Drosophila melanogaster: one gene and its partner. The protein of the gene in region 1 interacts with the protein of each later gene in a pairwise test. Each region holds a gene or a part of one and is shown in the gene's direction. Other genes may lie near its edges.

Region 1 (5,183 bases):
CTGCATATGTACTCTGGAAAAATGCCAAAAAACTGCAGAGCAATAACCCTAAAAATGGGTTCTTTTGAATCCACATCATGCACGGTAGTAACGCTTAGCTTCAAGTTAGATTCACAACTAATCTGGGACGACGCTTTGTTTTGATGAACATCAAACGAAAGAAGCGCTGATAAGACGGTGCTTTTATTGGTAAAAATTATAGATTATTATATGAAAAATTTAATGTAAATGAACCTAATTTCATTGCATACTTTTGAGTTGTGCAACCTAATTAAATATTTCTAGCTAAAAAGAATTCAATAAATTTCAAAGATACATAGAACATAACCCTTTTAAACCACAGATATGCATCTGTACAATTATTTGGAATGAAAGATTTCGAATTTCATTTGGACAGAGCTACTTAACCACCCTCCATTATCCATCCACACATTTGCCACAAACTGGCAAACAAACATCCACCAAACACCCACTCACTCACACATTAGTATCTCTCAAAGTAAAAAGTGGGTGGTCGGAATGAGTGGTTTGGGTTATCAAAGTGTCACTTCCACAACTTCAATGCCAATCCGAAGACCCTGCACTCAGCACCAATTTATCGATTCCCACAGGACAATAATGTTTGTTCATGCTCGTAACGCTTAAGCACATTAAAGCCCTCGACTTCAACGACGGAATGATGAGTTGTCGTCACTCCCCAGGAGCGGGCCACAATAACTGGGGGTCACCACCACCACGACCACCACTCATACATGGATGGCCATGTCCATGTCCATGTCCAAGTCCATGTCCTTCATCCCCCAGTTGATTAGCAATTTTGCTCACGTGACGGCAGGGGCTAAATGTGTTGACTGCCATGTCATTTGATGGAAATGGAAGGGTCAACTGTCAGGGGATGGGATCAGTGGTAAGTTGCTGCTTTTGCTTTGAAAATTTTTTTTTTTTTGGGAAAACCAGGTTCAATTGCTTGTTTGTCAGTCCCTTGGATAATTTACTTTGTGACAACGAGATATGGCTTCATTCGTTTTGAACATAACAAAATATCACTTAAGTATCATAAAGGGTTATTTGAAATCAAATTAAAATCGAGAAATTGTATCGAATTTGTAGTTAAGTAAACAACAGCACTGTGTTTTCTAATTAAACTATTGGTTGTGGCTTTCACCTGGGCAAACATGGAGCGCACTGACTGAGGGTAAGCGAAATGAATTTCAAGTTTATGCAAAAGGCCACAGTTGGTTGCATCATAAAGCCAAATGGTGAGAGCCATAAAACTAACCGCAGCACAAAAAAAAAGGACAATAAACGAAGCCAACGGTGGGGAAAAGCCAACAGGAATCAACAGAATGTAACCACAAGCACGGACGCTCAGGCAATCAACTAACAAAATGTACACATGTTCGGAAGCACTGCTTTCTACTTTCTAGTTGTTACTTTCTAACGCCCAGCCCAGCCCATTGGAAGTGCCACGCCCAATGAAATATGTTAGTTTTTTTATTATTATTATAAAGAAGTGCAGGCGTACTTGCTTATAAAGGAAGCTGCTAATGGGCTTGGAACCCATACAACTTATACCTCTTGGTCTGTATTAACCATGTCCTAAGTAGATCACTGTATCATTTAAATATAAAAGCACAGAAGATGTTTATGTATGTAAATAGTAAGTAAATAAAGAGACCATTTAATGTTTTATTTATTTTAAATTATGTTATTTCCTATCCAAGCCTGTCTTACTTTCTATGCTAGCAAAGTACGACCTCCCTTCCATGCTTCCCTTTCCTTCCATTGAATATTCCAACGGCTTTTCAATTTCTGTTCCATTTGAATTTATGGAGCATGAACATGAGCACTTGAGACCTGCGACTTGCCGCACTTAAACACCACTCCAAGGCCTTTGGCTGAAACATTTGGCCGGCTTTAAACGTGCCACAAAGGCAAAACTGGGCGCTGGCTTTAATTCCTGAATGAACCAACTCGACTCGATGATTAACATTTTTTTTTTCTTTTTTCGAGGAACATGTGGCAGCTGCCGCTGCCCGCAGCGCGTAATTAAATTGTTAACGTGCGCACGTGTCGGTTGGCCGTCTGTAGAGGCGCACATTTTCACATATTACGTATACGTACATGTGTACGCTCATTTGGCTCGAGTTCATTTATCCGTAATGCCATCTACGTTGACAAATGTGTGTGGAACAACAACAACGACAACAACAACAGCGTTTAGCGCATGCGGCACTAATCCTGGGTGAGTGGATGCTGGTTGACTGCGCTAAACCCTTTCTCCGCCCCATTTGCACTCACCTTTCTTCTGCTGCAAAACCACCCACCATCCCCCCCCCCACACACACACCCATCGAAAACCCCGACAATCGCCTTAAGCCCCACGAAACAGCCAAAAAACTCATTTTGCATGGAACTCGACTGGTGGTTTTTAATGCTTCATTGGCTTAATTGCCAGCCATGTGCAAAAACAAGTACATTGTGAAAAAAAACAATGTTTATTGCAATGAAAAGCAATAAATATTTTCTTTGAAAAAAAAACAGAAAACGGTCTAATTATTTATTAACTAACTAGTAAGCAGTGTAAGTTAGAATATGATATATAAAAAAGAAATAATGGTATATACCTTTGATAAAAACACAATAACAATTTTTCGTTTTTGAAATTTAAGGTTTTTCTTTTAGTGCACAAACAAAGTTACTTATAAACTGAATCAAACATACCCACCTACAGCAACTTTTTCAAAGTTAATTCGACCACAAACACGTTCATTTACCTTTGGCGACCACATAGATACACACATAGAAAACGAAAATTTAAGAAGTTAAATTCTTGCTAGTAAACTGCAGTGTCATTCGTTACGTTTTCAGTTGTTTCATTCTTTGTTTTTATATGCATTAAATAAGATATTTCAAAAGTGCTAGAATCGAATAAGTTAGATTTGAAATTTCCCTGGAATTAATAACTGCTTTGTGTGTTTGCCAATCACAGACAAAGATCTCTTTAAAGCTACTAAATCGCTGGGGATAGGCTGTTCAAATCAAGTTATGACGCATTTTTATATACTCCAGGGGTCATATTTTAATTGAAAAAGTGCGCAATTTGCTAATCAAACCGATTTGCGCGGCTATAAAAGAGACCTGTTTGAATCGATAGGCAATTTAGTCGCTGAATCGTCAAATCACAAACAATATGAAGCTGCTCTCGATTACTTTTCTCTTCGGACTTTTGGCTTTGGCTAGTGGTAAGTGCCAATGATGTGCTGTATAAATAATAAAAACCTATTTCTAATTGAAATCTTTTTTTTATTTATTTATTTCTAGCCAATCCCCTGAGTCCTGGCAATGTGATTATAAACGGCGACTGCAAAGTTTGCAATATACGCGGCGATTAGAATGTGGAAATCAGAATATGAAATAAACTAAAGTCACTGAAACACCAAAATGTTGTTTATTATTATAATTATTAACTTTTGCAGTTAGAAATGAAGTTCGAACTATTATAGTTTGCGTACTAATAAAATAAAAAAGACCATCACTTTATGCACAATCTGTATTTTTCATAAGTTTTATTGTAGTTACTAAACATCAAAGTTTTATAACTCCAATTTAGCCTCCGCGAACATTACAATGACGGCAATCTCCATTGATAATGACATTACCCGGATTTAACGGAGAAGCTATAGTAATAGTAGAAAAATAATTAGGATACTGGTTAAGGATGTATGAATCTTATAGATACTCACCCACTGCCATGGCGAGCAGACCGCATAGAAAGACCAAGGACATCCACTTCATATTGTTGGCAACGGTTGAAATGAAACTGATAAAAATTCACTTCATTGGTTTTCTTTTATAGGCACCTTTATGATGAAATTTAAATATCAGGTTTTTCCCGGATAGTACGTATCTCAGCTGTTGTAATCACACAAAAGTTGTGCCCAGTCTGGAAATGCCCTACAAAAAAAAATGTTGATAAGGCGATGTACATTCAGAACAATGGCAAAACAAAATAAAGCGATAGCGATCAATCAATCGAATATAAATAATAATAGATTATTGTAGATTTGTCTCAAATAGGAAATCTAATTCCAAAATCAATATGAATAAATATAAAAATTAAAGCTAAATTATTTAAAGCTTCCTAGCGGTTTAAACAAAGCTGGGAATTAAATTAAATTTACAGATTTTAATCTAATATGCAATTGCTATAATCTAAATGCAATTTAAATACCCATAAAGTTGGGATTTGTTAAATAGCAGTTTTAATATGTGACTAAATCTATACGTGATAAGGGTTGTATTTAAGTTCGCAATTTGTCACAAGCTTAAGGTTTTTTTTTGAGAAATAAAAGATATTATTTTATTAACTTATTGATTACATAGTAATTTAACTGAATATATGATATATAATTCCAAAGAAGATGGCTCCAGATGTGAGTGTGTAAGACATGGATCCAGCTGATTTATGGTCTGGAGGAATTATAATTCCCGGATCATTATCAGGCTTATTGCAGTCAATGCATTTCCCATTGATATACACTTGTCCCGGCGTAGCTGCAATAAGGAAATGATTAGCTAAAAATATCATATATATATTTTATTATTTCATTAAATAATTACCATTAACAGCTGCCAGCAGGCAGAAAAGCAGCATCAAAGTTCCGGCGACTTGAAGAGCTTTCATGTTTTTCCTTGGGGATTTCGAATAAATCTGACTGCCAAAGTGCGAGTGCTCTGCTTTTTATATGCCATAGTACATATAGTATTTGCTATATTATATATATAATTGTTTATAATTATTTTGCGGGATTTTACATAGTTATTTTAAAGAAATGTCTGGAAAGGAGTGCCTATTAATTAGTTGTTTAATTATTGTTATTTATTAAACAAAAAATCGGTAAGCTGTATCGATTTTATTGCTAAACCATACAGTAGCAAGGCTGATCTATTTGGATAATAATGTAATTAATCAAATCATAATATGATAATATAAAATTTGTATTAGTCTTTAAAACATTTATTTGAATTAAATACGGTATTCTCCATCGCCTAAGATCATTTTCAATAATTTGTTTCTCATTCCAGATCTCTAAACTAACAAATAACAAATATTAAGCTGACTTTAAGCGTCTTTTAATGACAAGTGATTGTTTCATAGTTTGTTTTCCTAGAACTTTGTA
Region 2 (8,475 bases), on another chromosome or scaffold:
CACCGGCGGCCCATGGCGATGAAGTTCACCCAATTCTCTATTTTGTTTGCCTATGTGCAAACGCACACTTTGCTAAGTGATGAAATAATCCAGGAAACGACGCGAAAATTATCCAGAAAAATACAGCGCAATAAATTAGTGATACCAAATTGGGGTACAGTAAAAACGTGTGCGTCGGCAAACTATCGATAGTTAGATATTGCCACCTTGTTGGAAAAGTTCAAAACTATTTAACGATATTTTTTGAATTTTATAAAAAATAAATTTTAAATGACTTTATTGCATAGATCTTTATTGTGGTGATAAATAAATACTACTTTCGATAAATAAATAAATATTACTTTAGAGCCTGAGTAGGTTGAATTTAATTACTTTTTATTTCTGACTATCTCAATTTTCATGAAACTTTACATCAATCTTCCTGCCATAAATTAACTATTAAAGTTGGTAAATACCCGCTGCACAATTAATATTAATCGGTGCGTTAATGCATTTTAGCGAAGTGAGGGTGCCATAAATTTCCTCAGCTCGGCGGAAAAAGGATCACGTGCCGATACGCCACCGTTCCCAAGGCCACCGAAAGCCTATTTGAAATGCAATTAATGTACGCTTTTGGGCTTACATGTCACCACGTTCGCCAAAAGGCAGACACCTTGCAAAAAGCTAACCAAATACGATATTATCCATTCGACAAATGCTTCTGGAAATATGTATTTCAACACTGGGTTTCAAAGTTTGAGGAGCAGCTATTTACGCATACTGCTAAAATAAACACTCATTGTAGTTTTTAATTACAATATTTCACCCGGTCATTAGCATGCAAGAAACAACTGACAAATTTAAATGTGGCGCCTGCTGCTTGATCGGTTGATTGAGCCGCCAAAAAAATCGATTGAAGTATGGAGCTTTGGCCTTCAAATCGAAATATGTGAGGAAAATGTGATGGCACATTTTGAAAGAATAAAATATTAAGATTCTCTATATTGTGTCAATATCTTATGTATATATGTGGCTTGACCCCTCGAATTCCGTAACTAAACAGTTTAGTTCCATTACAAATATTGTTTTAGAATGATAGCCGGAAACTCACGGTCGAAGAGCTTCCTGTTTTTGGGTACTTCCCTGAAAACGAGGTCTCTGGGTCAATCGGTTGACTTTTAGATCTTGGGCGTGTTTGCGAAATTGACACGGAGCCAATATCAAATGGTGTTGACTTTGATTCAGTGGATTGCCAATATTTGTAATCAAATCACGGCTGGAGCATAAAGCAAACTTTAATTATAAAATGCTTTTATTGTCATATGCAGCTGACATAAATATTAAATAACGTGAGTAATTGACGTTGCTAAGCCGAATAATTTAGCATTTTATAAATTTTGGTCAGTCAAAAACTGACATTGAGGGGGCCACTCGAAGGGAAATCCAAAATGGGTGGTAAACACGGTTAGATTTCCGTTTGCATAACTATTAGTGAACATATTTGCATAAATTATCGACACTCGATGAAATTGGGACGACTGCACCTGACCTCACTCTCTTTTTGTGCAAATAATTCAACAATATGTAACCTGTGCAAAAATATTTTTCAAAAACAGAAAACCGAAAACAGAAATATGTACAAGGAGAGTACAAAACTTTTGGTCCAACTGACGGCGGCACTTTCTCCTTTAATATTTACCCAACTCATCGACAAATTGGCCAGGCCCATTCCCCAGCCTCATCTCATCGGTCCCAGCCGCATAGCCCATAAGTCAGCCCCTTCTCCCTCTCCCTCTCCCGATCCCGATCCCCATTCCGATACCGTCTGGGAACTCATTGCGTAAATATGAGGGCATGCAATGCGGTAATAGGCTGGCTGCGCGTCTCTTGACAGTTGGGCCCAGTTTCCCGGTTCCTTATCACATGATTATTACCCAAAAATATTATCGCTAAATGATGATGATCATTTTGGGCTTGAGAGTGCCCACGGGAATTCATGTAACGCCGAGTAGCTCACACAAATTAAATAAATTATGCTTGCCCGAAAGACATGGCTTAAGCAAATACACGTGTTGACCATGTAAATGGGTTGCCTAATTTATTATAATTTTTATTGCTCTTTGTCGTTCAGCATTGCACGCCGGTCATTTGAAATTTGAAATTTAATATGTGGAATTTTTTCAATGCTAGCAATTGGGATTTTTCCAAACTCTGTGTACAATATATTGAAATAATTTTACTTAACACCCACCTCTGTGGCATAGTTTAATAATAATCGATACAAATATTTTGCTAAATATTATAGAAATTTCTGAGAAATGGGCGCGGCTGGCCCAGCAGCATCCAGCATAATCCGCCCAAAGTGTCCAACGAGATACATGTGTCAGGTAATGAGCGGCACCTGCCTTCGTGTAACTTTTGCCGTTTTACCGATTGCCATAAAGTGCGATTTAACAGATACCTTTGCTTTTTCAAAAACCGCCATTTTTTGGTTTCGGCTGTGTTCGGTCGACATGCTCAACTGCACGTGAGTTGAAGATGTAAAAATAAAGAAAATAACGCGCGGAGGAGACAAAACTTATCGAGGCGATCATGTTGAAATGCGTGAATTGAGCTTGGGTTTTGGGTTTTTGGGTTTTCGGGTTTGCTCGGCTTACTCTTCACTTTCAACTGGTGAAATTTTCGTACTCATCGGGGCTGACCTTGATCTGGGTCCCAAGCTGTGGAGAAAATAATGTAGATGGGCATCATTTCTTATGCTTATGCAATGGCAAGTGTGTTTGGGTATATCTTCTGGCTATTTATGGCCGGCATTATGTAACGTTTGGCAGCTCATTTAAAATTATAAGTACGATTAGTTGTTATATAGGTGCGTATTTAATGTAGCCACAGAACTTATTGATTAATAAGTGACCTTTACATTTCAATTATGTCGATTTCAATCGACATAAATTGTTGGTCAACACATCAGTTGAGATTATGCAATGAGCAAAGCGACAAAAGCACTGGCAAATACATACATTTCTGAGACGAAGCAAACAATAGCGTAAAATGCATTTATTTATGCAAAGAGACAGGAGACGCAGCACACAAAAAAAGTTCGAAATTTCCGTGCCAAAAACGATTTTGGCTCAAGTGGTGTCGTGTTTGTGAAGCTAATTAGATGGGAGTTAGCCCAATCCATTCAACGGCCATTCAAAGCGAAGTGGTGCAAAATGATGCGCAAGCCAAAGAAACGCCACCCATCGCCCACCGATCGTCCCCCCCTCCCCTTTTTTTGCACCACTTTGGCCACTTATCATTCACGGTTGCTGGTTAAACAGCCACTGAAGATTAGGCCATTCTCCCCGTGCTCCAATTTATAAATGGGTTACAGATTGCTCTTAAAATATATACATACATAGGTGCAAATTCACGAGTATCTACTTAAATCAAAAATTCTAGCAAGTCGCTAGAATTCTACTAATCTACTAATCTTAACATTTAAGTTTTTAGCTTAAAATACTTCTGGCCTAACCATTTTCCAATCTATTCAAAACATTTAAAAGGAATTTTTCAAAATGAATCAATCTCTAAATTTATTGCCTCTGTAGTACAGGGTATTCAAATTTCGACTTGCATACAATCAGCTCCGTTGATTGTTACAATGTTTCTCACACTAAAAATCCTGAAAATAAAAAGTTAAATTAAAAGAAAGTATATGGTTTTTATAAAGAAAAAAGAAGTGTTCAACAGTAGGACTTCATGGAATAAACATTTTCGAGTGTAGTACTGCCGCCAAACCAAAAAAAAAGCCCCACCACTCATTCTCTCTTTTTGGGGTACGGCGCTCTCATCGAATTGAGTGGATGGATCGATGCGACTCTCGGTTCGTATATAAGGCGGGGTTCCCCAATGCTTTTGACATTCCAGTTGATCAGTGCCAGCCGATCGGTCGGTAGAGAGAAGTGCGTCGCGAGTCCAAAAAAGAAAATCGAGCCCGCAGAAAGTGCCAGTGAATAGACTGATAAAGCAAACAAAAATGAAAGCTTTCATTATCGCCGGAGTGTGCGTGTTGAGCGTGCTGAGCCTGGGATCCGCTCAGTTCCAGAACGGACGTCTGGAGCCGCCGAATCCGCAGCTCTGTGCCCAGCGTGTCATTCACGAGAAGACTCCCGATGGCAAGGGGTGAGTCAGCAGGATATGCTCACCAAAACATAAACTATAGGGTTTGCTTCTCTCCCCGCAGTTACTTCTTCTCGTGGCGCGACCCTCAGCTGAAGGGCGTGGAGGAGGACTGGCTGACCGCCAGGAACTACTGCCGCAGGCGCTGCATGGACTCCGTTTCCCTGGAGACCAGTTTGGAGAACGAGTGGATCAAGCAGTATGTTGTGCGCGAGAATGTAAGTACAAATTTCAGGGGCTATAACGATGAAAATAAATTAAGGCAAGAAATGATAAGAGAAATCGAAAGACTTAGGAAACGAACTCAAGTATAGGTGTTGTCATGAATAGCACACAAATGCGCACACGCAAAGCTAATCTTTTATCTCAACTTTCATAAATATTTACTCCGAAAATGTTGAGTCTATAAATGGATTGTCCCAAGTCAATAAATTAAACCTTACGTAAGTCCCACTTATGATATTGGAACCATGTCCAAACTAATAAATTGATCTGAACTTCAATGCACCTGTTTGTTAAACATTTAAGCATTGATAGATCAAACAAATGACCGAAAATACCATTGAAATGTGCAACTCATTCACTATGTATATGTTTTTTTTTCCGGCGAAAGGCTATTATAAATGCAAAATCAAACACTAATAAATGGACCGCATCAATGTGGACTTTTACACCTTAAAGTCGAAAAAGCTTGCCAATAATTTATTGTACCTGCATCTATTAGATTTTGTTTCCGTTGTTTTCTCACCTGTTTTGCATGACATTATGTCACCTTTCTTAATTTGTTTGGCAAGTTAAATAACGTCAGTTTAGCCGCGTGTGAACTGTTTAGCGCGTTTTATTTGGCAGCTCAGACAAGACACAACAAAACGCTGACCTTAATTCCGAGGATGCTGGGGGGGCACACAATAAAAATAATTGCGAAATCCCTGACACTAACATCGCTCCACAAAGTTCAATGTGAAATTGCGCATAAAAACTGAACGGAAAGGCAAAATACGCATCATAAATACAGAAAAACTTTCCCAGTTGTTGCCTCTGTAATTTTGCACACGAATGGAATCGTCTGATATTATGCAACGCTCTTCGGATGAACAAGTGTCAAGTTTGGAGTTGTGGTCAGCCGGGCTCATCTCATCCCATCTCATCTGCCATCTTCCGACTCATTGCCCACATCCCATCTCCGGTTTTGCGGCATGGGAAGGCACTGGCGGTCGAATTAAAATCGAAAGTACATGTGTGCGATGGGAAAGCCTGGCCGGAAAAGCTGATCAACAAAATTACTTAGCAAAATTAGCAAGCTGCGAACACGCAACCGAATTCATTTGTTTTACATTTTGCGTATAAGATCCAAAAGGAAATTGAATGCAAACCATAGGCGATAAAAAGTCGAAGATGGAAAGTAACTCATGATCATCGAATATTAATATATTAACCACATATCAACCAACATATAAGACAACAAATCTTTTTTTAGATGTCCAATGGAAACGCAGTACTTTCCATTAAAATTTTCCGCTTCCTGCTAAGTTGCATCTCCCACCACCGACTTCTCTGCAAGACTTTTATTTAACTATTAGTAGGACAGGTGTATAAACATCACTCATTTAGGTTTCCGCAACGGGTAAAATGCATTCATTGTCTGAGTTTTAAACAATTACATTGCAATCTGGACCCCTTAAATGAAACGCTAAAACCGCCAGCGACAAAACCGAAATCAATGTCCATAAATCTATTTCAGCTTTACGCTCATTGGAGTTTTCCAAAAGGGCAGACATCCACATCGAGTCGTCTGGGTCTCTTTGTTTTTTTTTTTTTTTTTTTTTTGTGTGCTGCCCCCTTAACAAAACAATTTTTATGGCCCATCAGGTGAAAGTGACTGATGATCGCTTAACTGCGGCTGCGCAGCGGCTTTTGCTTTTGCTTCTGCTCACTTGAAATGTTGACAGTATCGGGTGCGCCAGCTCCAAAAGGGCGCGGACTCGGATTCGGAATGGGAATGGGTATGGGTATATGGGTTCGCTTTCAGCGATAAAAATGGTTGTTTGGGCGTGACAGGCCCAAAAGAGTTGCTAACTGGAATTTCTACCACTATTTTGTTCGTCGATGCCAGCCCTGCATTTTCTTGCGTAGGTGGGGGATTGATGGGGGAAATTTCTATTTCTATTTCAGTATCTGCAAGGGGCAATGAACTATTGATACTATTTCATTGATTCAGTTTCCTTGGATGGATATTTGAATTTTGTCCTGGTTTCAGTACATTAATGAGAACACTACTCTCACGTTGCAGGTGAAATACATCTGGACCAGCGGCCGCTTGTGTGACTTCAAGGGCTGTGACCGCCCCGATCTGCAGCCCACAAACATCAACGGTTGGTTCTGGACCGCCACACTGCAGAAACTGGCACCAACCACTGAGAGGAACCAGGGCGATTGGTCGCCCACCGGAGGCATTGGCCTGCCCCAGCCGGACAACCGCGAGTACAAGCAGAATGGAGCGCCGGAGAATTGTCTCGCCCTGCTGAATCAGTTCTACAACGATGGCGTAAACTGGCACGATGTGGCATGCCATCACAAGAAGAGCTTCGTCTGCGAGGAGAACGATGCTCTGCTGAAGTATGTGCGCTACACGAACCCCAATCTGCGCATCTAAGAGGATCGCGATCAGGATCAGAATCCGAATGCGAATGTGGGCTGGCGGAAGGACCAGCGACACTCTCCAAGTAAAACCAAAAATGATATTTCCCAAATCGGCAGCGGGAACGATGATCGATGTCAACTATATGTCTAATCTCCGATTGTCTTTGAATGCAAAGTTTTCTGGCCAAATTGCTGCATGATATACTTACTTATGAACCCTATCCTGGTAACCACCTTCCAATTCTCTGCGCTCTGTTCTGTCTCATCAACTAGTTTAATTCTTAATTTTGTATTAATTTATGATTTTCTTTAATTATAATAAAAGATTCGAAACGATTTTGATAAGTGGACAACGGCATTATTTATTTTTTTGTTAATTTGATATAGCATTGAACGTTTAAATTGATTTATTTAAGGATATTATGATAGAATCATAAATACCTCTTTTCCAGGGTAGAGGTTAGATATTAATAAATGCTTTTTATTAAATCTACAGATCCTAAGAACCCTCTTTCAAATTGTATGATATTGTTCAGCGCTGCAGATATGAATATAAATCTGTTCCGAGTTTTGTTTTCCATACGATGAAATAATTGTACAAATTTGAATTATAAAAACCAAAAAAAAGTTCTGTTTCAAGCTGAGCCATTTGAAGTATAACACAAGAGAAAATGCTACAGTCGAGTTTCCCGACTACCAGATATCCGTTACTCAAGTAGTGGGATTTTTCTGGGATATCTATAGATTGGGAAATACATACATACATTGTTTTATTCAACCTTTAAAAAAATAAAGCCACAAAATAAAGTGTTTCGAACTTGAAATTCTGACGCCAAGAAGTATGCTATGATTTTGATAGTAGATAAGCTTTAGTATCTTATGCGTTTTGTATATTACGATCATGAAATGAACGGTGAAAACTAGTACATGCACACAATTTTGATGAGTGATTGTTGAGAACGAAAGATTGAATGAAAATGAAAACCCTTTTTTTTTGGGCAACACTAGAACATCTGGGACAGTTTCACCAGATCCAAGAGGGAATAAAATGGCTTCTGTTTGGAATCTCGCTCGTGACTCTTAACCGGAATGTCCTGAAGTAAATTTGGTTCCCTGCTCGCCCGACATTTGTCCAGCACCCGTTCAAACTCCGCCAGTGCGAAATCTTGAGTGGATGACGCTCTCTTCGGATCAATAGTCTCCAGTATGGCCTCCCACTGGGCCCGCTGCGGCTTGATGACTATCCCTGCACCTTTGTCGGCTGCATTAATGGTGGCCACTGCTGCACCGGCTCCTTCAATCATGGCCAGCACCAGACAGCCCACCAGAGCACTGTTGGCCATGGCCCGAATGCCATTACGGGCTGCCAATATCCCACCAGTGGCCGCTCCACTGAGTATCGAGTTCCAGGCATCCTCCCTCTGGCGATAGTGGACCAGGGCGCAATCCACTGTGCTGAAAGTGGCACCCCAAACGGCAAAGCTGCCGGCAATGGACGGCGTTCTCATCTTCACCAAATCAATGCCACCATAAAGTCTGCGCTGCAATCCGGTAGGAGCGTTACGGAAACCCTTGAGGAACTCGAACAGCGAACCACCGATGGTGCCCATCATGAAGGCACATCCGCAATCCTCCACAATCCTAATGGGACACGGCTGGCGATTGTACTCCATGGCCTTGACTTACTATATC

The links. Proteins that work in one complex are often made in the same cells at the same time.
Region 2: the proteins of BomS6 (region 1) and CG4115 interact in a two-hybrid assay, tested with the Drosophila melanogaster proteins (one large-scale study listed by BioGRID).

What each region holds. Positions count from the first base shown.
Region 1 is NT_033778.4:18,388,604-18,393,786, reverse strand, and holds BomS6 (bomanin short 6), read left to right. Parts: upstream 1-3,157; 5' UTR 3,158-3,193; coding exon 3,194-3,245; intron 3,246-3,324; coding exon 3,325-3,395; 3' UTR 3,396-3,434; downstream 3,435-5,183. Other genes in the region: Idgf5 (imaginal disc growth factor 5), read right to left, coding at 1-79; BomS5 (bomanin short 5), read right to left, coding at 3,610-3,680, 3,747-3,798; BomT2 (bomanin tailed 2), read right to left, coding at 4,391-4,557, 4,624-4,687.
Region 2 is NT_033777.3:12,356,130-12,364,604, forward strand, and holds CG4115 (uncharacterized protein), read left to right. Parts: upstream 1-3,878; 5' UTR 3,879-4,000; coding exon 4,001-4,146; intron 4,147-4,207; coding exon 4,208-4,361; intron 4,362-6,433; coding exon 6,434-6,796; 3' UTR 6,797-7,126; downstream 7,127-8,475. Other genes in the region: MBD-R2, read right to left, coding at 1-14; Tim17a1, read right to left, coding at 7,788-8,456.